Linked DNA regions of Drosophila melanogaster. The protein of the gene in region 2 interacts with the protein of the main gene of each other region in a pairwise test. Each region holds a gene or a part of one and is shown on either strand. Other genes may lie near its edges. The genes, in order: lig, Srpk79D, CG34168 and BomBc3.

What was found.
Region 1: the proteins of Srpk79D (region 2) and lig interact in a two-hybrid assay, tested with the Drosophila melanogaster proteins (one large-scale study listed by BioGRID).
Region 3: the proteins of Srpk79D (region 2) and CG34168 interact in a two-hybrid assay, tested with the Drosophila melanogaster proteins (one large-scale study listed by BioGRID).
Region 4: the proteins of Srpk79D (region 2) and BomBc3 interact in a two-hybrid assay, tested with the Drosophila melanogaster proteins (one large-scale study listed by BioGRID).

The regions. Positions count from the first base shown.
Region 1 is NT_033778.4:8,067,599-8,076,682, reverse strand, and holds the start of lig (lingerer), read right to left. Parts: upstream 6,855-9,084; 5' UTR 6,785-6,854; coding exon 6,404-6,784; intron 6,349-6,403; coding exon 6,171-6,348; intron 5,863-6,170; coding exon 4,445-5,862; intron 4,321-4,444; coding exon 3,905-4,320; intron 3,557-3,904; coding exon 3,449-3,556; intron 3,317-3,448; coding exon 3,212-3,316; intron 3,084-3,211; coding exon 2,983-3,083; intron 2,710-2,982; coding exon 2,183-2,709; intron 1,272-2,182; coding exon of another isoform or gene 1,266-1,271; exon of another isoform or gene 1,211-1,265; coding exon 1,076-1,210; intron 1,019-1,075; coding exon 893-1,018; intron 824-892; coding exon 575-823; intron 391-574; coding exon 7-390; 3' UTR 1-6. UniProt on the Drosophila melanogaster protein: Acts in the nervous system to mediate the control of copulatory organs during courtship.
Region 2 is NT_037436.4:22,271,650-22,277,677, reverse strand, and holds the start of Srpk79D (Serine-arginine protein kinase at 79D), read right to left. Parts: upstream 3,694-6,028; 5' UTR 3,121-3,693; coding exon 2,240-3,120; exon of another isoform or gene 2,187-2,239; intron 2,133-2,186; exon of another isoform or gene 1,962-2,132; intron 315-1,961; exon of another isoform or gene 1-314. Other genes in the region: Csp (cysteine string protein), read right to left, coding at 5,287-5,309, 5,916-6,028.
Region 3 is NT_033779.5:16,133,320-16,137,365, forward strand, and holds CG34168 (uncharacterized protein), read right to left. Parts: upstream 1,954-4,046; 5' UTR 1,843-1,953; intron 1,776-1,842; 5' UTR 1,770-1,775; coding exon 1,587-1,769; 3' UTR 1,395-1,586; downstream 1-1,394.
Region 4 is NT_033777.3:22,084,678-22,089,685, reverse strand, and holds BomBc3 (bomanin bicipital 3), read right to left. Parts: upstream 2,504-5,008; 5' UTR 2,484-2,503; coding exon 2,426-2,483; intron 2,369-2,425; coding exon 2,327-2,368; intron 2,258-2,326; coding exon 2,061-2,257; 3' UTR 1,185-2,060; downstream 1-1,184. Other genes in the region: BomT3 (bomanin tailed 3), read left to right, coding at 3,363-3,453, 3,821-4,083.

The DNA.
Region 1 (9,084 bases), on a different chromosome or scaffold from region 2:
ATTTCATCAGTCGGCGAAGAAGGACAAGTCGTTGTTATTGTCATGAACACAGCAGTCGATATTAGGTTCAAAGTTATTGCAATGAGCGGCAACGAGCTGATTCTGACACTGGACAGGTTCGGTTTGCCAGATCCGGTGGTATGTAACTTGAGGACCGTTCACATTCCCATGAATGAGAACATGACTTTCCGTCCCTCCGCCTACAACAACCTGAAGTGGTAATTCTGAATGTACCTGGTGGATGGGCTGATGGATCATATTGTGGTGTCCGGCCGCTGGCATCGGCAAGTACATGCCGTACGGTTGGGCAGAGGTGCCTCCAGCCGTCTGAGTGTTGGGCATGTTAAACGGGGGCGGAGTGCCCGAATGGAAACTCTGCTTCTCGTACGACTGAATAACGAAAAATACAATGGTACAATGTAGACACGTCGGGAGATAAGGTGTTTTAACCAGGGCTGTGAAATCTTATTGTTGTATTGTTTTTTGCTCAAAGATAATTGAAGTCTTTTAACATCGAATTCAGGCTATGATGACCTGCATCCAAATCCACAGCCCTGCTTATAACCATACGTACATTAACCTTGTTCAGCGCCACGTGTCCTTTTCCGTACATAGAAGAGGTCAGATCGGATCCAGTGCCTGCCTGCGACTGGTTGGACACAGTCTGAGTTTTGCTCTGCTGATTCACGCTCGACGAGTAGCCGCCCTTGCTGTAGTCCTGCGTGGTCTGCGACAGAGTGTCATAGCTGGTCGAGCCGTAGCCCGCGCTATACGAAGGCTTCGGGAACTGTTGACCGGAGGCAGTGTTTGCTGCCGGTATTTGCTGAAATTGAATAAGTTTAGACGTTGATTAGATACTGCATACAAAGTGATTTGAATGTAATAGGCTTACTGGATATATGGCGGGCGTGCCATATTGAAAACTACCGGGCATTACATTGCCACCATAGAAGTAGGCGTAAGGAACATTTAGCATGGGCGCACTTGAGCCAGCCTGTTGCGACATTGTGCTGGAGACCTGCAAAATAAACATTTTTACCATCTATCGATCTATCTATCTAAGCTGAGCACATACATTGCCGACCGGACTGGAGTTATTGTCAGTGCGGGCAAAGCGTCCATCATTCATAGCAGAATACGTCACAGAGCCGAGGTTGTCACGTCCAGCTCCTAAACTGGCCGGCGGATAGTTCAGATCGTAATATCCCTGCTGCAATTGAGAATTATAGCATTAGGTTCGTCTTCACGCGAGCATTCTGGGCGTGTTATGGCTGTGAAGATGATGAACGGATCACTTTGTCAGAACTTCTTACCGAAACAAAATAAATATGTGATAAAGGTCTGACAAAACCACGTGTACCAGTTTCAACAAAATGAAATACGTTATGTTCAATGTAAGAAATTTATACATTAGTCAGATGTTAGGTTGAAGAAAAAAAAAAGGGTAAAATGTTAGTGATCGAATGAAATGGGTCAGTAAGGAGCACAGATTTCGTTGTAGTTAGGGATGCAAAGTAATTCAAGTATATATATATTTATATTTTAAGGTTATATTTCTTCGATTTGAATTGGCTTTGCATCCCTAATTCCACAACTACATTGTAGATGGAAACGAGGAAGAACGTTCGGATTAGTTTTTGGTTAATTTTGAGTGTAAAGCAGAGCCTGGGAGGTAAGCAATACATGTGGATTGTTTATCTTTTTTTTTTTGTGATAATGCCAGGAATGTGGAACTGGATGAAAACGGAAGCGGATGGTGCAGGGTGGCGAAGGAAAGTGTCAGCTTTTTACACAATCACACACACACATACATATTCAAACAGACACAGACTTTTAGGAGGTGGTATAATAAGGACTTGATCACAGACATCGCGGTATATGTATGTTATTATGTACAATGCACGCTGAGAAACGGTTAGGAGTGGGAGGCCGCAACGTCAACGAGCCAGGATCCGGATTAACGATTTCGATCAGCAGCGGGAGGCGAGCTGGGATGCGCTGAGCAGTTGTCGTATGCGTTTAAATTTTAAATGGAACTAGGTCTTGACTAATGCGAAAACGTTGTATAATGGGAGCATATTGATACGATTACTGTTTGATTAGAAACGGTTCGGTTGATTGGTCGGTTGCATTATGTAGTTGTTGGTTTGATATTTGCTTTTGCTTTTCTCCATGAACTCACCACATGTGGCACTCTCTGTTGCATCATTTGCAATTCCTCGTAGGAATACACTGGTTGCTGATAGTATGGCAATCCAGTCTGAATATATTGACTAACCATTTGGATGTTGGTGGGCACCAAGCCGCTACCGCTGCCACCACCACTACCAGCACCACCAGCACCCGACGAGCTGCCCACGCCGCCGGTGCTTGCTCCCGCACCTTGTCCGCTGGCGTTGCCCGTCGTCGTGGCAGCACTGCCACCGCTGCCGCTGCTATTGCTGCTGCTGGTGTTCTTGTTGGTCAGCGAGGCCAGCACTGCAGCGGTGGTTCCCGTGGCTGTCTGGGCAACGGTCGCTGCTCCCACCGAGCTGGCGCTGCTGCTGTTGTTGTTCACATTCACACCGACGCTGGACGCGCTGCCACCGGGCACGCCGACTCCACTACTTACGCCGCTCTGGCTTACGCCTCCGCCCACGCCAGCTACGTTGCCACTCGCAACGCCTGCCGTCACATTGCTGACCGAGCTGCTGCCGCTCACGCTGTTATCTGGAGAGGACGGAAAGGTTTTAGTTTAAATGCGAATACTAAGAATTCGGCCAAAAATAGAGCATTTCAGCTAAACAAAAAGTTTGAATCAAAAATTATATTTATTTTGGAGAGTTGTATTGTCAAAGCCGTGGCTAGATTGAAGTAGATTTGACATTGTGAGTTTGTTTTTAAATATTTTTGATATGGGATTTCTATACCAGAAAGCTTAATGACTGCAATGCATACTCTTTAGGGCCTCAACTGTTTGATATTAAATCATCGATTACTTACTGTTCGATACAGCCGCCTGGTTAGCACCTGTTTGACCGCTCACCACACCGCCATTGCCTGTGCTTCCGCTGTTGCTGCTCACTCCGCTGCTGGTTGAGACACTGAAAGGTCAATAAGATCAACATTAAGTGCTACAGGCATCCGCCTCTAAGTGGGATATGACCAGGGGGTTGGGTTAGTCGGAATATTTGAAAAAGCGGGGCATGCAGAGCGGGGGTTTCGCTCTTACCTGTCGTAATGAGCGGCGCTACTGGCCGTGGTCGCATCCTTTAGCTTGGCGCTGGCACTGAAATTGGCGTACTGCGAGGACGCGTTGCTCGCACTGCCAGAGAACCTGAACGAACGGGCGAGAAGCCGCAATTAAGCATAATGGAACCAGAACCAGTCCAAACAAGCAAAATAAGGTACGTGTCATCCCCAGGGAACTGATCGTATTGGGATTGGGATCGTCACATTTGGTACTTACCCGCTGCTGTTGGACAGTCCAGTGTTGCCATAAACACTCTGGCTTGACTGGTAAGCACTTTGTGGTGTCGAATATCCGGATGTGAGGTAGGCAGAGCTCGCATTGCCGCTGTTAGGTGCGGAGCGCGATTGCGGTTTGGGATTTTTGGGACATAAGCGAGCATTAAATGTGTTAGGAGAGAAGAAAAACAGTAAACAAAATGAAGATTAGCTCTCTTTCGGGTGGGGCTAATTGTTAAGCAAAACTTGCATACACACAAATATTTAAACTTTGAAGTAAAAGATATATTCGATAAGGTTTGTACCCTTGCTGAGTATAGTTAGTTGTTCCTTGCCAAATCGACTTGTTGCTTAGAAATAATTTTTAAATTTAAGAAATATGTAACTACGAATCTCTGCAAGGGTACGTACCCTTTGGAATTAAATATTAAACAATCAATACTGGATCATGTCATACCTCGTGCTATTTTGGCTGCTGCTGCCTCCAACCGGAATGTTTTGCGTCGCCGTTCCTCCGCCTCCGCTTACCGCACCTGTACCGCTTTGAGCCCCGCTGCCAGCCTGCTGCTGGTAGGAACTGGGCTGGTATGAGCCGTATCCCTGCTGCTGGTAACTGTTGGCTACTGAGCTTTGCACATTCGCGTATGTGGAGCTGCTGTAGCCACCGGGCGCGGTCGTCGGAAAGCCACTGGCTGTCTTACTCGCTCCACTGCTCTGGTACGCGTTTTGGTAGGCGTTACCACTGCCGCCCGTCTGTCCGTAGGGATCGCTCTTGGTCAGCTGATCGATTGTGGCATTCACCGCTGAGCTAACGCCCTGCTGCTGCTGTGACGTCGAACGGCTTGTATAGCCCGCTGCATTTAAGGCATCGCTCTATAAATGAGGAATGCTATTAGATTCTCAGTAATATATGCACTATGCTAAAAACTATCGTATTAACTAAATCATGGTGACGATGATTACTTGGGTGATTCAAAGGATACAGTACGGTACTTACAATCTGCGAACTCTGTAGACCTGCCGCTAGCGTCACCTGCTGCTGTTGCTGGGACTTGCTCTGGTAGTCATCTGGCTGCTGTTGCTGCTGCTGACCATCAATGCTAAAGCCCGAACCAACCTTCTCCGGCAATGGCTCGAAGCCATCGTCCGTGCCGAAGTCCAGAGCGCCGAACTGCACGTCCAGGTAGCCAATGTTGTTCAGTGCATTGTCTCCGGGCATTTCGACGGCACTCGCAGGAATCTTCGAGGGTGGTGGCAGCTTAACACGTGCCCTCCGTATCTGCGGTTGCTGCTGCGATTGCTCGGCAGTGCCAGCTCCAGCTGCCGTTCCAGAAGCGAATACGTTGGCATAGGTATTGGGGTACTGGCTCACACCCACGCTAGTGCTAGTTTGGGAGTAGGCGGCCACGGGGTTTTGCGCGTAACCCGCTGGCGCCGATTGCACTGGAACAGAACCTGGGCTGACGCCCTGGCTGGCCAACGAGTTGAAATACTGAGATTGCTCGACCGACAAAGTAGCCGACGGCTTGATAGGCGTCGTCTGCTGCTGAAGTTGCTGCTGCTTTTGTGCTTGATGCACCAGCGTGGCAGCTGCCGAGGCGGCGCTTGAGAATGTGTCGGGAGAGGCGGATACAAAGGATGACGGTGTGCTGCCTGCTCCTCCGCCGGCAGCTGCGCTCGCTCCTGTACCCGCTCCTGACTGTGTGCCCTGGGACTGCAGCTGGGGCGGTGGATTACTGACCGCTGCGCTGTATTGCAGCAGCGGCGTGGTCGCCGAGCCGCTCAGCGTTGCTGGCGGTGTGACCGCCGCTGGGCCGCTGCTGGAGCTCTCCTCCAGATGAGATCCCTGCTGCACCAACTGATGTTCAAGGCCCGGTGGCGCCGATATCTCGGTTCCAGCCGCCGCAGGAACAGCTGTAACACTCGCGCCAGTTCCGCTAACCACGTTGGCAGCGGATTGCGTTGCCAGGTTGCTAGTGGTGAACACCTTGCTGTCCTTGAGCGAGCCCTCGTACTCCTCGTTGTTCCAGTCGCCCCAGGCATCGTCATGAGCCTGTTGCTGCTTCTCGGCATTTTGGGCAATGGTGTTGTCCCACAGCTCAACCTCGTGGTGATCCTCGTTTGCATTGCCACCGCGACCTGATCCATAAGCACCACCAGGGCCTCCGCTGCCGCGATCGCCACGCGGTCCACCGGTGCGTCCCCCCATGCGGCCGCCGCCACGGCCAGAGCGAGAGACAAAGCCACCACCGCGTCCACCGCCACCGGGACCACTGCGTCCGCCGCCGTTGCGCTGCCCGCGGTAGTTGTCATTTGCCCGATCGTCACCGCGGTCCTGACCAGCGTTTTGCCCGGACCAAGGTTCGCGAGATTCGCGCTGGTTGCGCTCATTCTCACGAGTCTCTCTTCCGCGCCCTACAATATTAGAAATCAAATATTAATTTATGTTCAGAGGATTAGGATAAATATCATTTACTAAAATTATTTCATCAATTTAATATTTTCTCTAATTACAGCTCGCGCATGACCAACAAATGCTGAACCTTAAATGTCAATCAGCATTGGAATATTTAACGATCTTAATTTTTATATATGTTCTACATAAAAAGAAACGTTATTTTTAGCAGTTTTACAATAACTGTAATGCAGAGCTTAAAGATCCAAAACGTTTAGTAATGCCCTAAGAAACGTTTTAGTAAATGAGCGTGGCTTATGATACTTACATCCACGACTGTCACTGGAGCCACGGGTGCCTCCGCGATTTGAGCTGCGGTTTCGCGACTTTTCCCGCCTGTCCGCATTGCCATTGCCATCGGCCCAATCGCCATCGCCAGCAGCACCATCAGCCGTGTTATTTGCAGCCTTGTTCTTGCGCTTTTTCTCGTACTTGGCAAAGGCGCCCTAAAACAGATTCAATTGAATAACTGGAGCGCGGGAGATTAGAATCGAAACTAACCTGCGGTAGCTCCTCGATCAAGAAGTTGGCCGCGGCCTCCAGGTCGTAATCGCACTCGTTGAGGGCACAGCAGACCTCCTCCTCGGAACGTTGGGTCATGGTCAAAAGAAGGAGAACCTTCTCGTTGATCTGCGGATCCTCTGTGGTGCTATTGGTGATCTGGGCAATGCGCAACTGTTCGGTGGTAGCCTTGGGCTGGGCCTTCTCTGGCTTGTCTGTCTTGCTGGCATCCTGGCCTCCCTTCTTGCCAGCGGCCGCAGCATGTGAGACTCCATCGTGATGGCCGGTTCCTCCTCCGCCGGAGTTGCTGGCATTTGACTTTTTCTGGTTGCGGGCATGGCCGCCGCCTCCCCCGCCGCCTGAACGAGTTTGTGTGCTCATCTCTATGTACACTGTATATACAAATTAGCTGCAATACGAAAAAGATGAAGGATTCGATCTTAAAACCAGGGAATCTACAAACTGACTGATAAAAATTTAAGTCTGTGCTGACTGGATTCTGAGTATGGGACTCTCTGGGTTTACTTAATGTTCTATAAGTAAAATAGTAATATCTAAAGATCAATGCAAATAAGTAGAGAGTAATAAGTAATGATTTTTGGTGTTGCTGATTTAGAAAGTTAGCCGCCTGGTTCGCTTCTGTTAGTTGATATTCAACTATAATATAGCAGAAATTCAATTGGAATTTACAGCGCATTTACATAAATTTTTTGTTGGATAGAGAATAATGAATGGTTAAGATCTAAATCTTGATTCGTCGGCGTGGAAATATTAATGGTAAACTCCCACAATCCAGACAGCTTTTATCTGGGAATGTGTTAAAATGGCTAAACAAGTGGCCGAAAGAGAGCAGCAAAGGAAAAGTTGGCAAGATGAGAGTTCAATGTACATTTAATAAAAGAGAATGAAAGAACGTGAACAAACAGACACACGCCGAAGCAAAGAAGTGCGAGAGGAAGGGAAGATCGTACGCACAAACAAAGCGAGCATTCAGAAATAACAAAAATAATGAGGGGGGTGAAAAGTGTATTGGCAAAACAGGTAACAGAATGATTGCCGAGGGGGTGGCGGGGTACGTGACCACGACGCATCCAAGCCGAAACGTCAGTTGGCATTTCCAGGGGGGGTGGTTCATGGGAAAGAGAGCGGGAGAGGCGACCCCGATACCAAGTGCATATCTGAATCACTCAATTTTTGTTGTCAAAACAGTTTTATCAACGTTTGCCGTGAATAACGCCTTTCCATGCATTATTCATACACAGACACACGCGCGTACTGCCGCACACAAACAAAAGACCGCTGTCGCCATCACTTTTCCATCAGGTTTCGCATTTCGCACGTACACCATGATATGGAAATTTGACCACGGGAACTGGGGAACTGCGATCCGAGACCCGGAAACTACTCAATACCAATTGCAATGGGAATCGCGGTGACTGACATACACAAAAATTGATTTATAAACTCCTTGGCCTCTTCGCTTCGGTTTTTCGCTTTCGCTTTTGTGCTCGCTTTTCTGCATCTGTCCTAGCGGCATCTCCCTCGCACCCGCACCAGCGCGGGCTGACCAGTGTTGCCAGGTGCGAACAAAGCGCAGCGGCACTTGGCAAGGCCGTTAAATTAACCAACAATCGGAGCACAATGATTGGATTCGTTAACGAGGTAGCAGGTCCTAGAGAGGGCAAACAGCGTTAGCTACAATATCTGCACAAACGCACAAATTCACGGCAGGACTCGGATGGCACACATCACTAGGTACGCTCCGGCACTTGGCAACACTGAATGCGAGGGCATTGAAACCGAATGAAGCGCACAAAGTGGAATGCAAAACCGGACAAAGTGGCGTACACTGCGCCGAAATAAGCGAAATGTACGATTCGTTGTTGGCGAAATTTGTCCAATATGTGACATACCCGGCAAGGATAACGCACTCCCAGTTGCACATTGCGGGGCAAACGGGATATATAGCCTTAATAGACCCAGCCATGTGCACATACTTCGACGCCATTTCTGCAACGCCACACTAGCCGACTCTTTCGCTCTTATGTAAACCAAGGGACCCAGTAATTGACGACGACCGCCGCTCCAGACAGCGGCCACTATTGAATTTTCAACCGAGTTTTTCGCTGACAAGCCCCCGGGAGACATGTCGAAAACACGTTGCACAGGTGGGGGGACACTTAAACTAAACTTTAACACCTCAGCAGGGTTCCGGTCACGGCTTTAAATTGGATAAACAAATTTTCAAAACGGAGTCACACTCAATACCTGCAAATGCGCCGAGAAACGCACTTTTAATGTGACCGCTCGTTAGTCGATCGATATGGCTTTATCTGGGCATGCAGCCCTGGACTCAGAAATCTAGCGGTGCCACGAATCAGTTTTACTAATTTTTAAATTGATAACATTTCTATACCATTATTAAAAGGCTTCAAAAAGCTAATTTATCCAATTTTCCATTAGCTAATATAAGCAGCTTACCTATTAGAAGCTGATTTCGATCTTAAATATGTTGTATGCTCCTTGTTAAAAGGTTTTGAACTCGTATTAAATCAAGTGGTATATCGATACCAAATGAAAAGTTGTTGGCATTTGCACACCTCTATCATCAACAAAACATACTACTTTTGAAAAAAAAAACAAACAAAATCAGTTCATTTACCAAACTATGGACAAAATAT
Region 2 (6,028 bases):
TTTGCCGCCTCTTCCTGAGCGGCCAAGGCGCAGCCGTTTCCAACTCGCGAGTATTTCTGTTCTGCTTTTTTGTTTCTTTTTTTTTTTTTGTCACAACTAAGTTTAGTCTTCGCCCGCTCACAGTCCGGCAGGGGGTGAGGTGTGTGGATCACCTAGAACCCATGCCCGCCGATAGTTTTCCTTAGAGTGATACACTGCGAGAACACTTCCTTACAAAGCAGTTAGGTCGCAGTCTTTGGCCAACAGATACCTTCTACTTTACAGGATCGTAATTTAGTGGCTTCGTAAATAACTAAATAAAAACTGAAAGACAGGTGTATTCGTATATAAATATTTTTTTACTGAGTATGAAATGGTTGCTTTGTGGGCAATTCTGATGAGAAATACTTATTCAAAAAAGTTGGATATTTTGTAAATGAATAATTTTATGCGCCGTGTATTTTGCTGGCGTCATTATCCAATGTACTTCATCAAGTCGATGTCGTGGCGCTGCTCGTTGTTCGCTGCCTTTGCCGGTCATGGACTGCACTACACCAGGAAAGAGTCCACCAAATGAGCACACACTCATGCGGGGCCATGCCCGTCAACATCATCGTCATCATCGAGTGCTTCGAGATTTCTTAGGCATCTTGCCAAATTTTCCCTCGCCCGTGCAGAGGGGTGTTCGACAGGCAGGATTTCGAATACCTCGAATTCCAAAAGGTTTCGAAACCACTTCGAAAGGTAGTTTCGAGCGATTAGGTGCGATTGAAAAATTCCTCGCAATGCAACTGCAGTTCCGTCCGCCGCCTGCACAATATGCAAATGTGTGAGTTCGTATTGGGACTAACCGGCCTTATTGATTTTGCAGCCCCGTTCCCAACTTGAGTCAGCCGTTGATCCTTATGGAGCCATGGCGATTTCTTTAGAAGGAAAAGCTTGCTGACATCTTGAGTCACCCTATTTCTGACACACGAACGCGCTCTACTCGGCGTACATAACAACACCACCACCAAACCCCCCCCCCCCCCGCACAACACAATAAAATTATTATTTATAGACGCCGAAAGAAGCGAATGAAAACAATAAGTCGGCTAGAAAATCAGTGCGAATACAGAGCAGCCAGAGGCAGTAAAACGTCATCGTTTTGCTCGATTGCAGTGAGTTTGTGTTATTGCGGGGATGCGCTGGGGGTTGGAGGTTGGTGATTGGGTTGGGGGTGCTCATTGGTTAGCCACTGGCGTCACGTGGTGCCTACTTGCGGTTAGGGCAATTTAAAAACGTAAACAAACCGAGCGGACTGAATGGAAGAACTCATGCGGGGGGATCGATGTAGGATTATGGGACGCAGGAGGTAAAGTTTGCTTGGTACCACTGTCGAAAAAACTGGACCACATAAGTAAGTATGTAGTGTGTGGAATCACATCCCATTCGGGATAAGCACACTGTGTGGCGAAGGGTATCGAACTAATGGGTTGCGTCAACAATGAGGCCCACTGTGCCCGCACAGTGGGAACGCGAATAGTGAGGCCATCCCCGAACGGCTCACATATTGGAGCAGCTCGTTACGGTTCGATAAATTTATTTCCTGCCTGTGAGAGACACGTGGAATACACGCGGCGTATACTTTATGTTCATATTTTATCCGCATGAGAGTGATGGGAAAGAAAACTGGAAAAAAGCTTACTTTACTAAGTCGAAGCTGGTATGCCCTTTAATATTATTTCATTAATTGTCAATTTATATTTTTATTTACATTACAGGCTTATACTGTGTCACTCAGAAATGGAACCTAATACCATTTTGTCAATACAAATTAAATGCATTTGGTCGAGTTACTTCGTTACTCAGTTGAGAGATTGAGTTGAGATATCTTAACAGAAAAGCGTTAAAGAGACGTCGCTTTCCAATGAGCAGTATTAGTTAACGTTTCTAGTAGTCCGTCATGAACACGTCTTGAAATAAACGTGTGGTCGAACTTTATACAAAATTACGGACGGACGGACACGCCCAGCTCTATTTGTTAAAAGATCCTGATCTTCTGATCATGTCTCAGTGTCAGTTCATGTCAAGAACATTTTTTTTGAAGATGAAGTGTTCAAGTGATCATGAAGTGATCGAAGGAAGTTTATCTTATAATATTGGCAAATATGGTATTTGTAGCCGAAAATAGAAATATATACTAAATTCTTATATTAATTTTATAGCACAATAAAAATGTTTTACCAAATAGGGACAACGATATCGATGAAGTACTTACAGACTGACGAATGGGCCGCGCAGTGCCGGCATATCCCGCCGTCGGTTGAGCGGCGGCGACAGCGACAGCGAGAGGAAGTCCTGCTGGGCCTTGTCCTCGTCGACGATGCTGGTCGGGGTGCTGTAGATGCGCGTAGTTGGCAGATAGCCAATCTGCTGCAGAAAGTCGTCGCGGTAGGAGAGCTTGGTGGTGGACTGAGAGGAGGTCAGCGGCAGGGACAGCGGGGATCCATAGAGCGGAGCCAGTGGCAGGGCCGCTGTCATCGAGGCCAGCGACAGAGGCTGCTGGTAGAGTCCTCCTGCACCGCTGCCAGATCCCGGTCCCGATCCCACACCGGAACCTGATCCCGCAGCTGTGCCGTTCCCATGGTGGTGTAGGTGGAGGTGGTGCGGCGTGGTGGCCGCAGGCTGAGTACCGTGAAAATGCGGATAGGGAATGCCGTGGGTGTAGGCTGGAGCGCGCGACAAGTACGGCGTATTGATGATCTTGTCGTCGAAGCTGCGACGGAAACTAAAGCCCTTCAGTGAGTTGCTGTAGTTTCGGTGAGAAAGCGGCGAGCTGCCCAGGTCAATGCTGGCCGCCGGGCCCAGGATCCCGGCAGTTAGACCGCATCCTGAGGAGGCGGTAACGCCGCTGGCCGTCGCCGTGGCGCTACCCAGCATACTCAGCGCAGGTGAGGTGCGCAGCTGAGGGCTGCCGCCCACTCCTCCGCCTGCACCGGAGGCCGTGGTGGTCGAGGTGGAGAGTGGCGGCGAGATGGCACTCAAAGTGGAGATGCCGCTGTCACTACTACATATGCCGGCCGGCAGTGACGTGTGGGTGGGCGAGATGAGGTGTGGGTGGTGGTGTTTGCCATTTGCGGCACCGATGAGGCCGGCCATGCCGCTACTGGGCAGTACGGGAGCCAGGATGCCTCCCGGGATGAGTTTCCTGATCTGCGCGGGGCTGGTCCTCGCCCTGTCCTAATGAATGCTGGGAAGCTAGAAGCAGCTTCCTCGCGTCTTTGTCCTCATCGTTGGCCTGCGCCCTTTGTTCCTGGTGAGGACTTCGTATATCATTCCTTGTGCGTAGGAAAATCAATGAAGGGACGCGCTTAAAACATGCATTTTAAGCAGCGCTTTTCTCGCTTTGTAACCCAAATTGCGCATGAAAAAAGTAAGGCGAAAATCCACACACGCACGCACACACTGCCACGAACTGGTTCGCGATAGAAGAGGGTTTTTCCACGGTCTGCCCTCAATTGGGCCTATTGGATTCCCTTTCGCCTTTCTTCGATGCTTTTGGCCAGGTACGTGCCCGTAGTCTAGTTAATAGCGGAATTGATTTATCCTCGACAAATAAAGCGAACACATCACATTTTCCACTTTGTGTTTTTGGCAGAAGCAGCAGCACGGAAAAGTCTTCTTTGTCCGCACTTGGCTCGAACTCTCCGACGGTCTGCCCTCCGGGTTCTGAAGCGGAAAACTCTGCGGCGAAGTTCAGCGATTCCGGGGAGCGGGCAAAGCGCATGTGCCGGCTGTGGCCCGTTACTGTCCCAAAACAAAACAAAGCCCGAGCGGAGAGAGTGAAAGCTAACTGCAAGCAGCTGGCGTCGTCGAAAGTTCCATCCCCGAAAATCAGTTTGTTTACCATCCTGGCAGAGCTTTTCATGGGCAAAGCCGACTAGGCAATACCCTTTGTAAAACAAAGCGGTGAGTTTGTATAATAAATTTATTTCGGCTTCTTCGTGTTAGACCAGAATACAATTGAAATTTGGAAACAATTGTTAAGTTTAAATTTAGTTTACTTAGTATTTTTGCTTTGACTTGTACGAACAATAAATACACACGCAAGACCGTAAAATGTAATTATTAATAATTGAATTTTATATATGTATGCGTGTTTATACTATAGATGAGCCGGCGACTCTCGGATCCCGGCCCTAGACCCAGGCGCCCAAGGACTTTTATCCTGGCCCGGAGCTGATCGGCAATAATTGATGTCAATGATTTAGAATGGGATACTACAATATAAAAGTTAATTACTGCTGGACTAATCGCATTCATTTACATTTAAAAGCGGGTTAACAATCAAACAAAAATTAATTAGATTCAATTCAATTTTGAAACAATTTGGAATACATAAATATGTGCAATACTTTCGGGGGTTACAATTCAACTTTTGATTACTCGTATTTAATTGTTTTATATATAGAGGGGATTATTAATATCTGTTATATAATTTATATTTGCGTTAATTGGATCGCCCTTCAAAGTGTCCTCTTCTTCGTCCTCCTCTGTTTAACTGTGTGATGCTTAATTGTTTAACTCGTATTTACATTTGCATTAGAATCGGATCGGAGCAATCTGCTGGGCGCGTCGCTCGACAATTCATCCTTTTTACATAAGTAGTTCTGGCTTTAACAATTTAGTGCAAAATAACAGAAACAATCGGTGAAGAGGAGATCTCGAGAACAAATTAGCTAGACTAAGCGACGACACAAATGCCACAAACTAGATACACATATCATATACATATATATAATTACAGTGCCTCTCTTCGCGACTGAATCCCAACTCACGGGCTAAGCCGCAAGGGATCCGATCCCCAAGCAAATGTCTAGACAAACTTCCGATATACAATTTCATCAACACCGAATGGTGTTTTGGTGATTAGCATGACTGGATAGGTGGAGATGGTGGCTTCGCGGCTTGGCTATCGATTCGAGTTGTATAGTGGTACAGCTGCAAGGCTAGATGCATGGCTTGAACAATGGAATTGGTGAATCGATTGCCCGAAGTGGACCAAAATCAACCTGACTGACCGGAGGGCGGCCACGAAGTTCGATAGTTTAAAATTAGAGCTAAGTGCTACGGCTTAAAATAAATACATTGGTTTCTATGTTTACTCGCTTCAACATATCGCGCATTTTAAAAACAACACTAATAATTATGAAATAAATCTGGTTTTCTCTTCTGTTACGATTTAGGGGCTTGTGTTTTCTGTGTCTGTATCTGAATGTGTGGTGTACGCAAGCACCCGGGTCTTGACTCGCTCGCAGCACTTGACTAATATTTTTGATTAACCATATCTAGAGTGAAGAGAGGGGGAGAGAGAAGTAGACAGTGATAAGTGAAAAGAAATCAAAATGTACGCGTTGCATAAGAAACGATAAAACTAAAATCCGTCAAACTTAAGCTACATTCTTTGAATATGTCTTGGATGGAAATTAAAATTTTCATTTCATTTAATTTGCGAAAGCTTGGAAAACAATCTTGAAAGGAGGTCTTTAAAATGGGGGACTTGAGTACGGCTGGCGCAGACCTAAGGAACGAAAGGCTGAGTCAATCAATCTATTCATTGGTCATCCTGCAGCTCGGGCAGTGTGTGGTAATGTAATTCAGCATGCAGATCTAAGTAAATGGATCCCATATTCGCGTGGACATGTACAGAAAGTGACTAAAAAATACCTTGCCGGATACACGAGCTTACTGCTAAGGGGGTGTTGATCTGATCGCTGGACGGGGTATGTCGACTGGTGACTGAATGCCTTCGCCACCTATCCAGCGACCGAAGGAAACAATATTTGTTCGATATATGCACAATAACAAGTTCGATGGTCAAAGACGCTTTGTCGGATTGCCAAACTAGCGGAGGCTGGCTGTGTGGTTGACTTCTGGACCAATTGCTTATATACCTGGCGTGTAAGTGGTCTGCTCCGTTGTGTTTAGCGACGTATTCTCGTTAGCTGCTACAGGGGCGCCGGTGAAGGGGTTTACTCCCACGGCTCCACTGGGCGGCGGCATGGCG
Region 3 (4,046 bases), on a different chromosome or scaffold from region 2:
AAGGGGCAGTTGAAATAGTTACCCAAATTACACATCATGAACTTAGAAATTAATTTTAATTCTACATGTTTCTTTTTCCTTGAATATATCTGTAATTTTGTTGCAGAACATGAAGCTTATGTCTAAATGTCTATGTGATAAGTAGACATTGATATAAACATCACAAACAGCACTCAAAACGATTGAAGCTTAAAGTCACATTCAAGAAATTTTGGTACCGTCAACAATAAATTCGGAAAATAAGCTGAGCATAATGGCCAGTCTTGATGATTTCTTTGCCAAGAAAGATAATAAGAAAACTAAAAAAAAAAACCCAATTACTTGGCCACCGATGAGTTGTACAAAACGCTGGAGGAATCTGCAAAGTTGGCCACGGATGCCGATTCCGTAAAGAGTATGGAAAATGAGAATCGTACAGAGGGGCCAACTGAATCTACAGGATCGGCTATGAAATCGTTGGAATTTTCACTTCTTTACCCAAATGAATCTGTTAAAGAGGAGGATGAATGGTCTGAATTTACAGAGGAGAATCGTATGGAGCTCATGAGCTTGGGCCACAGCTCTGGCTCAACAATACTGACTCAATTGGCCGTCGGCGATGTCAAAGCTCAAGATTCGGAGCAAACCGATACAGGTGGCGATGGCATGAACGTGGGTCAGAAACATGATGATGACATCGGCAATACCACTTGTCCCTGGGTGAAAATGGAGCACGCACTGGAGCAGCAGAAGCTAAAGGAGCCGATGTCTGTGGAGCAACCGAATAAGAAAGAACCGTCCGAGGTAAAGAGCCAAATCTACATACCACCTGCTCTCCGCCAGAGCCAAGGTGACTTCAATCGACGGGATCAGGCTGAGAGCCGTCTGCGTAAGGTTCCATCCAAGATGTCCGGAAAACCTCAAGCTCCTGATCTCAACAGTGACGAGTATTTCCCCAGTCTTAGCAAAGCACTCAAACGCACCAAGTAGCCGTATCACGATGATATACTCTTTAAACTTACCGTTTCTGTTGTTCACTATGTTTAACGATATCAATTTTTCTGGTCGATCTGATGCGGGGTGCCTCGATTAAATAAAATTGAAAGCAATCAGCAAGCCCATCTGTTTTAGTGGTGTTTTACTCGTAAACAAATTTGCACTCAACAGGCCCATTAGCATTACACGTCTTTTTGGCTGGTCCCCGATGTATCGTTAGCCGTAAACGAGCCAAATATTTACAATCAAATGGGGTTTAGCCTTAAATGCACCCGGCGGACTGAAAAGAAAACCAAAAACGGCAAATTACGAGATGGAATTTTGTGATTGTTTCCACAGAATGCATGCCAAATATTTAATTAGGTTTGCTAACTGTTGATAGCAATACATGTGAAGTGAAATTAAAGTGGTCTATTTTTGAATTATACGTATAATTTATTAACATCTATTTCTGATGGCATAATCTTTCATCGAACACAAATCTTTGGATCCACTTTGCCTGACAACTTTTCAGCGTGGCTCCTCATCTTCGACAAGGCCTCACGGCTGCAATCTTTAAAGCTCCTGTTCCAGATCGCGGATAAAGAAACCCTACATTCCTTCTAAGCAGGCTAACAATGTCCACCATACGGCCCGTAGCATGAGCAGCAACCATATGGGCCACAAGGACCGCAACAGTGGTTGACCGAACGGAACCACTGGCCATTGTAGGGTCCGCAGAGCAGGCAGGGTCCCAGTCCGCCAGTCGGTCCACAGCAAGTGCCGGGCATCGAGCACATTCCTGGATTGCACATTTTATTCTGAAAACGAAATGAAACGAATCGAGGATATTTTCAAGAAACAAATTCGTTTGTTGTTCACACTCACATTAGCCTGATTACGGAAGTAGGATTTTCAGTCCTAGAAATTTGGTAGTCGTACAAATAGATGTTTTCTGTTGGAGAACCGAAACTATAATGAGCTAAAGCCACTAGCTTGGTCCACAAAGTTCTACAGATTTAACTTTGATTTCATGGCCTTCTATGTTGTGGTTTCATGGCCTGCTTTTAAAATGCTTTTTTCCAAATTTTAAAATTTGATTAACTATATATACAGTTAGCCTCTTAGCCTCTTATCTAATTCGCTTTAAGAATTTTAATTCATAAAACCGTTCCCGATTGTTTGTGTGTCCCATAAAATTCCACTCCATTGCTCCTCCAAAAATACTTCAGTCCGTCCCGAAGGACTTCCCATTCCCCTAAAACTCTCGATGTCATAATTTAGCCGAAGGCGCAACAAGTCGGAAAAGCCAAGCCGCGACTGATTTTTCCTCTTTGCCCCACCTTTCATTGTTTTACCAAGAGCAGAGTTTTCTTAAGCATTTTGTGTTGGGCAATGCACACAAACCTATTTTTCTTCACAGCCGGGATTCCGTCTTCTTGTTTACGGACAACAGAGCCGGGATTCGCAGTCAAAGTGAAGTAAAGTCACTTGACAAGTTTTGTCACGTGCGTCACATGTTGGAATGTCCCCCAGCCACCCAGGCCACCCACTTTTCCGACTCTACCCATATTTCCACTCTGGCTTCTGAGCATTTGGAAGCAATTTTCCAGGCATGCCTTGCCGCTTCTGTCGTTGTCGTCATTTCATTGTTTCAAAATTGTTGCTCATGTTGTTTCTGTTGTTGACCTGGTTCTCTGTTTTCTTTTCTTTTTTTTTTGCCACGTTTCTTGGTTACCAACCGGTCTGCTTCAACTGAAAAGAGCTCTTGCTGGCGTAAATGTGTTTGTGATTATTTAGTTATGGCATCTAATTGAGTTTGGTGTTTGTTTGGCTGGCGCGGGAGTGTGCAAAGTGTGCTTATGCAATAGCTAATTGAGTCGATTACCCCAACACTTTTCACGTTTTCACCCAAATAAGCTGTAAGGCTGAGTGTAAATTAATCCATCTCGAAGTTCCTAATTTTTATGAGTTTAAGAAAATAAGTAAAAAAAACTCTGAAGGATGAAGAATTCTGTACATTTTACAAGTTTATTTACTTATAAAGCTCATGTACATCGATTTTCCAACATCACTATCTCATCTATTACTTAATCGAATTAAATGAAGGAAAGGCCAAGAAAATTTGATCGGATTAACTTCTTATCTTTTACCAACATTAAATTAAAGCACTTCCGCCCTTCGTAAATAGCCCGTTCGTTTGGTGGCCTTTTGGGTCTGGTTGAGCTTATTTTCTGTTCCGATTCCGGAACCCCGAATACCCCGGGAAAATTCCCGTATCCCCTTCCGTAACCAAACATCATCTCCATCGCGTGTTGGTCTCGTATTACAGCATTGCATATTCGCAGGCGCGTGCGCTCCCATTCGATTTGAACTCCATGGCGACTTTAAGGAAAATGCATCGAAGAGCCGAATATGTTGTGACTGTGAAGCTTAATGTTTCGTGTTGATGTGACTTTTTTCCACTGTTTTTTTCCGGCTTCTTCGCTGGTATTTTTACAGTTTTCAGCAATGCCTTTTTCAGCCCGCTCAGAAGTTCAATGTCCCCCATTTTATGAGCGTCCGTGCAGCGGAAGTTTTGGAGCGATAAGTTTTTGGTTCCGTTCTTATGTTTTTGATTTATTTGTTTGTAACTCACAGCTTAAAAGCGGAAGAAAACTCCATTAAAATGTTTAATCATAACTAATAATGCATAATTGCACAATAAATTTTAAAATATACATACATATGAGGAAAGCTACAAGTGCTCACATAGATTCTACATAGTCAAATAGAAAACTTTATTTAATTTAAAACCATAAAATATTAATTATTCATTTATGTAACTTATAAATAAAAATTAAACTTAATACACAATCTGTACTCTTTAAAATATAATTATTACTATCGACAACAAAGGAAATTTTCGGGTAGTAAAAATAGATTTCTGATTAATAAATTGGCAAAATACCTTCAAAGGAAGTCTGTTGTGGTCACTTGCCTGTCTGAATAATCCAGCGATGGGGACTTTTATTGACGAAGCACTTGCAGTCAGGCGCAGTGGAAATGGATGCTGTCTGACTTTGTTAGTGATTCAGTGAATCAGGATACCA
Region 4 (5,008 bases), on a different chromosome or scaffold from region 2:
CAACCAAAGCTATTTCACGTGTCTCATTTGTAAGGATGACTTCGCAGAAACTGATGCTTTTCTCCGCATAATTCCAGCACTTATCGCATTTTCGTTAATTATACGCTTTCAGCAAAGTCGGAATTCCAATTTCGATGGTGGGAAAAGGAATAATCCTGTCGATAATGAAGTGCTGGGTACATGGAATTTAATTTATTTATTAATATCTTCTGGCGCCCCAAAAGGAGGCAGTAAACAGAAGAGCGACTTTATACAAGCATTGGCGAGTTGGGGGTAAAATATAATAATTAAAGCTATGTAAATTTGCTATGCGGCCGGGATTTTCAAATAAAGCTCAACCAGTGGCAGATATAAGAGTTTCCAAGCACGTGACAATATTACCAAAGGCGCTGCCCCCAGGGCAAACAACATTGGTGTACAAATAAATCAATTCTGCCTTCTGGCAAAACACTGCGGGGGCGAAACAGAAAAAAGTTAAAATTTATTTGAAAAGCGTGAAGGAGATGGCCACTGCTGCCACAAGTCCGATCGGCTCACCTTTCACCTGCCCCAGAAATTCCCCTCTAATGCCGCACAAATTAGGCACAAGAGAACAGAAATTGACCTGAAATCAAATACAAGTCAACATAAATTCAATTTCGAACATTCCCCAGCTCAAGGTCCTTAAGTTGCTAGGCAGATAAACCACCCTGTTCTGGACTAGGACTGAGTTCCTCAGCTTCATGGGGCTTCTAAAGTTGCGTGTAAACAATTTGTGACCCAAAAAGATAGGAAACGACACATTTCTGCCAATAAAGTGTATTAAAAGTAAATCAGAGAAAGTGTATCGAAACCCTTTACGATTGGTATGGTTATGCCACCCAAATGTTCATTGAATTTTAAGCCAGTCGAGCGTTTTTCTGAATTTAGCACATCCGCAAGGGCAGTCCATTGATTTCAATGCATTGTATTTTTTTTTAATTGCAAATAAAGCTTAGGTTTTTATTCTTGGATGTCCGGGAATCAATACTATTCTCTTAAGTTATACGCTTAAATCAAAATTGTATGATTGTTAAGTAATCCTTTTACAATTTTAATTGTTTTCGCATGCTAAGCCTGAATGAAACTTTTCCCTTCTTATTCTGTATATAAAAACACAGCATCAGTTTTATTCGAAACTTCTGCACAAAATATTCTTGGGAAGTGTGTGTGTGTGTGTGTGTGTGTGTATGCACTAAGTGTTTACTGTTTGTCGAGTAGTTAGTTTCAAAGCAAATATTTGAGAGGCTTCTGTTTGCCGTTCCTGCAGTAGCATTACGTATACGCCACGTGGCACGCGCAACCTTAAGCACCCTTACATCAGGCCAGCGTTTTCATTGACAACACATCCACTGGCGTAAATTGCACGGTTGGTTACTCGCATTTGATTATCGATGCTGTGCAATACTCTGGAGACAGCGACGTCAGCTCCCAGCCCAGTTTATGTGGCAACTAGCTGAAGTTCAAACAATCGATGCCATTGGCAGCACGAATTTCTCTATTTTTCCGTCACAAAATCCGTGGGTCTTCCCTTATTTGCAGACTGTTTTGAAACCAAGGCTTTTGAAAATGTAACGCTTTTGTATCACTTATTTTTGAGAAGGATGAGAGAAGCCAATGTTCACAAACAGACAGCTCGCAGTGCACGCAATGAGGTACTGGAAATCGTTAAAAAAAATTCTTATTTTAAATGTGAAAAATTTGATTTTCAGGACTGAATATTTCGACCAAAAGCAATTATAACATTCTTCACGCTTTTTTCGCAGCATAAAATAACTCGGATGTTTCATGTTTCTCCACGTGTACTTCGTGGTAACAAAAACTGAATATAAAACGCTCATTTTTCCATTTTTTGCCTCCATCAGATGATGCCCTCTGCACTCGAAACCATCACATTCATCGAATTTGCAGAGAGACTGGGTTGAACGATTGTCAATGCTTTTAGCTAAATGATGTTGTACATAGCCAAGTGTAAGTATGAAATGGATTGATCGATATGTGCGCAATTTTAATTCAATATTCAGACTTTATTGTTTAAGCCTTTAATAGGGATCCACGTTGCAGTGCTGACATCTGCCATTGACGATGGTATTACCACCCCTCCGGTAAATGGTGCCACCTCCACCGCCACTACCGTCATTTCCACGGGAAATGACCACATTACCATCGCCAGGGGATGAGGAGAAGCTGCGGTACTGCTGGCCATCCAGGTAGACGGGTTCACCATTCGGATTGGGACCTTTTCGAGTGCATATTATTATTCATTAAGTTGTCCAATTGCCTAGCTGGCAAAACAATCGCAACTTACAAGTCAGACAGACGCCATTCACCACCACTGTGCTGGGATGAGCTGGAAATAATTTCAGTGTGTATCAATTAGCGTCAGCAGCAATCCCGTCCAGCTTACCGCCGATCAGAGTCGGAATTAAAGCCAACGGGAGCAGCACACACGTCAGGTACTTCATATTAAAGCCGATAGATAGATGACCGTATCGACTCTCACGCTACTTATATAGTCCGGCACTTGATTCGATCCGAATCAAAATCGATTTGCATAAGCCTAAGCGTTTGGAGCTTTCGATTTGTATTTGAACAATATATTTAAATTAATTTCACACTAGAACACTATCAAATCGCAATTCGATGGGGTTTTCCGCACACGGTTTTGTGGCATCAGGTCGACGTAGTTGATTTCCTTGAACTTCTTCAAAGAAACTTATGACAGTCACGCCCCGAAAAGTCGGTTTACAATTATTCCCAGACGTAAACATGAATGGCAAGCGATTCCAGAGAATCGCACACCATTAAATTTTATCCATACATCTAAGGAAAACTGGTTACAGAACCGAAAGTCGTGACTCGTGAGTGAAATGTAGAAGCTTTAGTTCTAAAGCTAACAATTTATATTTAAATAATAAGATACTTAATACAATGAAAAAGCAAAAAATATATTTGAAAACAAATACATTTCATTAAAAATAAATCTTTGCAACTTTGTAGAAATGAAAAGTGTCTGACTTATTATAGATTTTACAGATTTTGTGTATTTGTTATGTTAAAAAGGTAACGTAGAGTATCTTGAATGCAATACGACTGACCAACTGATGCGCTACAGATTGTTTTTGAAACCCATCCGCGGGCAATTCCCTGAGATTAATACTTAATACATACGTAGTGGTTTGTTTGCACAGCAATAGTTCTTTGCAGCGATAAGGTCTGTTTGGGTTTGAATTCGAATTCAAATTCAGTATCGGAATCGGAATCGATGAGTGCATCGTATATAAGCTGCTGTTGCGGTTCGTACCTGGTCCAGACCAGTTCGACGTTCTAATAGACCAGCCACAATGAGAACCTTGACGGCATTTGCGATTATCGCTTTTTTTGCACTGGCTCTAACGGAGGCGGCTGTTTACATCGGTGGCGGTTGCTACGACTGTAAGTCAATGCCTATTAATTTGGGCCATTTATTCAAAAATTGTTCAACGATTTTCGTCGCTGCCACATCAGGCATAGTTTAAAAGGAAATTTTGTGTTTTCATTAGCGAAAGTTTGAATGAACAATCAATTTGTTATTATATTATGGTATTTCTTGGCAACGAAAGTCATTAAGTGATTATTAACGATACTCTAAACATTTGTTATTGGTTAAGTTTATGAATAATATAATTCCGAACACTTAGCTTTAAGCTTTTAATTTCTATAGCGCATAGTACATTTGCTGGCTTGCGTAAAAAATGCAGTAGCTAGCGCGCAATTAAGTAACTACTACTCCTCAAGAAACTGATTTAAATATCACTATTAGGTAATCCACCCGGAGGCCAAGGACCTGGAGTCTACACAGGTGGCAACGGAGGACGAGGAGGAGGAGGTGGATACAACGCAGGCGGAGGCGGTGGAGGATACTACAACGGCGGCGGAGGTGGAGGAGGTGGCCGTCGTCCAGTATATTCGGGCAACTTTGGACCCGGCTATGGTAACGGCGGAGGAGGAGGTGGAGGAGGCTACGGAGGCGGCGGTGGAGGTGGCTACGATGATGGCGGTCTTACGCAGATTATAAGCGGCTGAGATTATAATCTCGAAGCTTTGCTAGCGCTAAGCGCGAAGAGCAAGCATCGTCTGAAACTTAGATTATATAGACTTAAATAAAAAAAATATATATTTTATCAGCGGTGACTACTTTTATATACTTACAGAATGAGCTTTTGTTAGGTTTTGTTAAAGGTTAAAAACAAGTCCCTCTGTTAAAGTAAAACTAGTGAATAAACTTATCAAATACTCAGCTAACGCTACTAATAAATGGCATGCCACCTATAGCTTCTAAAAATAATATCCTTAATTCCTGTGCATTTTATAATTGGTATTCATTGTAATTCAGTTCAGACACGTATAAATGAGTAGCAACTGTTCAAGAGTGATGATTAATATACCCTTAAAGCCATAAAACCGACTGTGCTGTTCGGTTGAAGGAGTCAAAGTCCTGCAAAGGAAATAATTCATAAGCTCTTCAAAGTTTCAGCCATCCTGCTTGTCAGTCTTAATTAAAGGACTTGCCCTGGCTAAATATGCAAGGGCATCGAATTTCCAAAAAGTTGAACCAAAAGAACCGCTCGGTGAATCCACAAGCACTTAATTGATACAATTACAAGTTCGATTTTTGTTCGTTCGGCGAGCTTTTGGTGAGCTAAGCTGAAGCAAATGAACCGGAATCAAATTAAGGGTCATTAAGTATAATTATCGGTATCATAGCATGCATTTTGTTAAACAGTTTTCAAGGACTTCCTTTCTTTAAGTTGGTTCTTTTGCATTTAAGAAAAGGTTGCGTGCACGCTTAAAAATAGTACATTTCGTGGATATATGTTTAGTTAAGACTCTTGCAGCACATGTATAATTACACATTCGAAACGAAAATAACCATTTCAAAGTAGATACGCTTAAAGATTACTTTATTTATAGCCTGTGCAATCAGTAGTTTTAGAATGAGTAGTTTTAG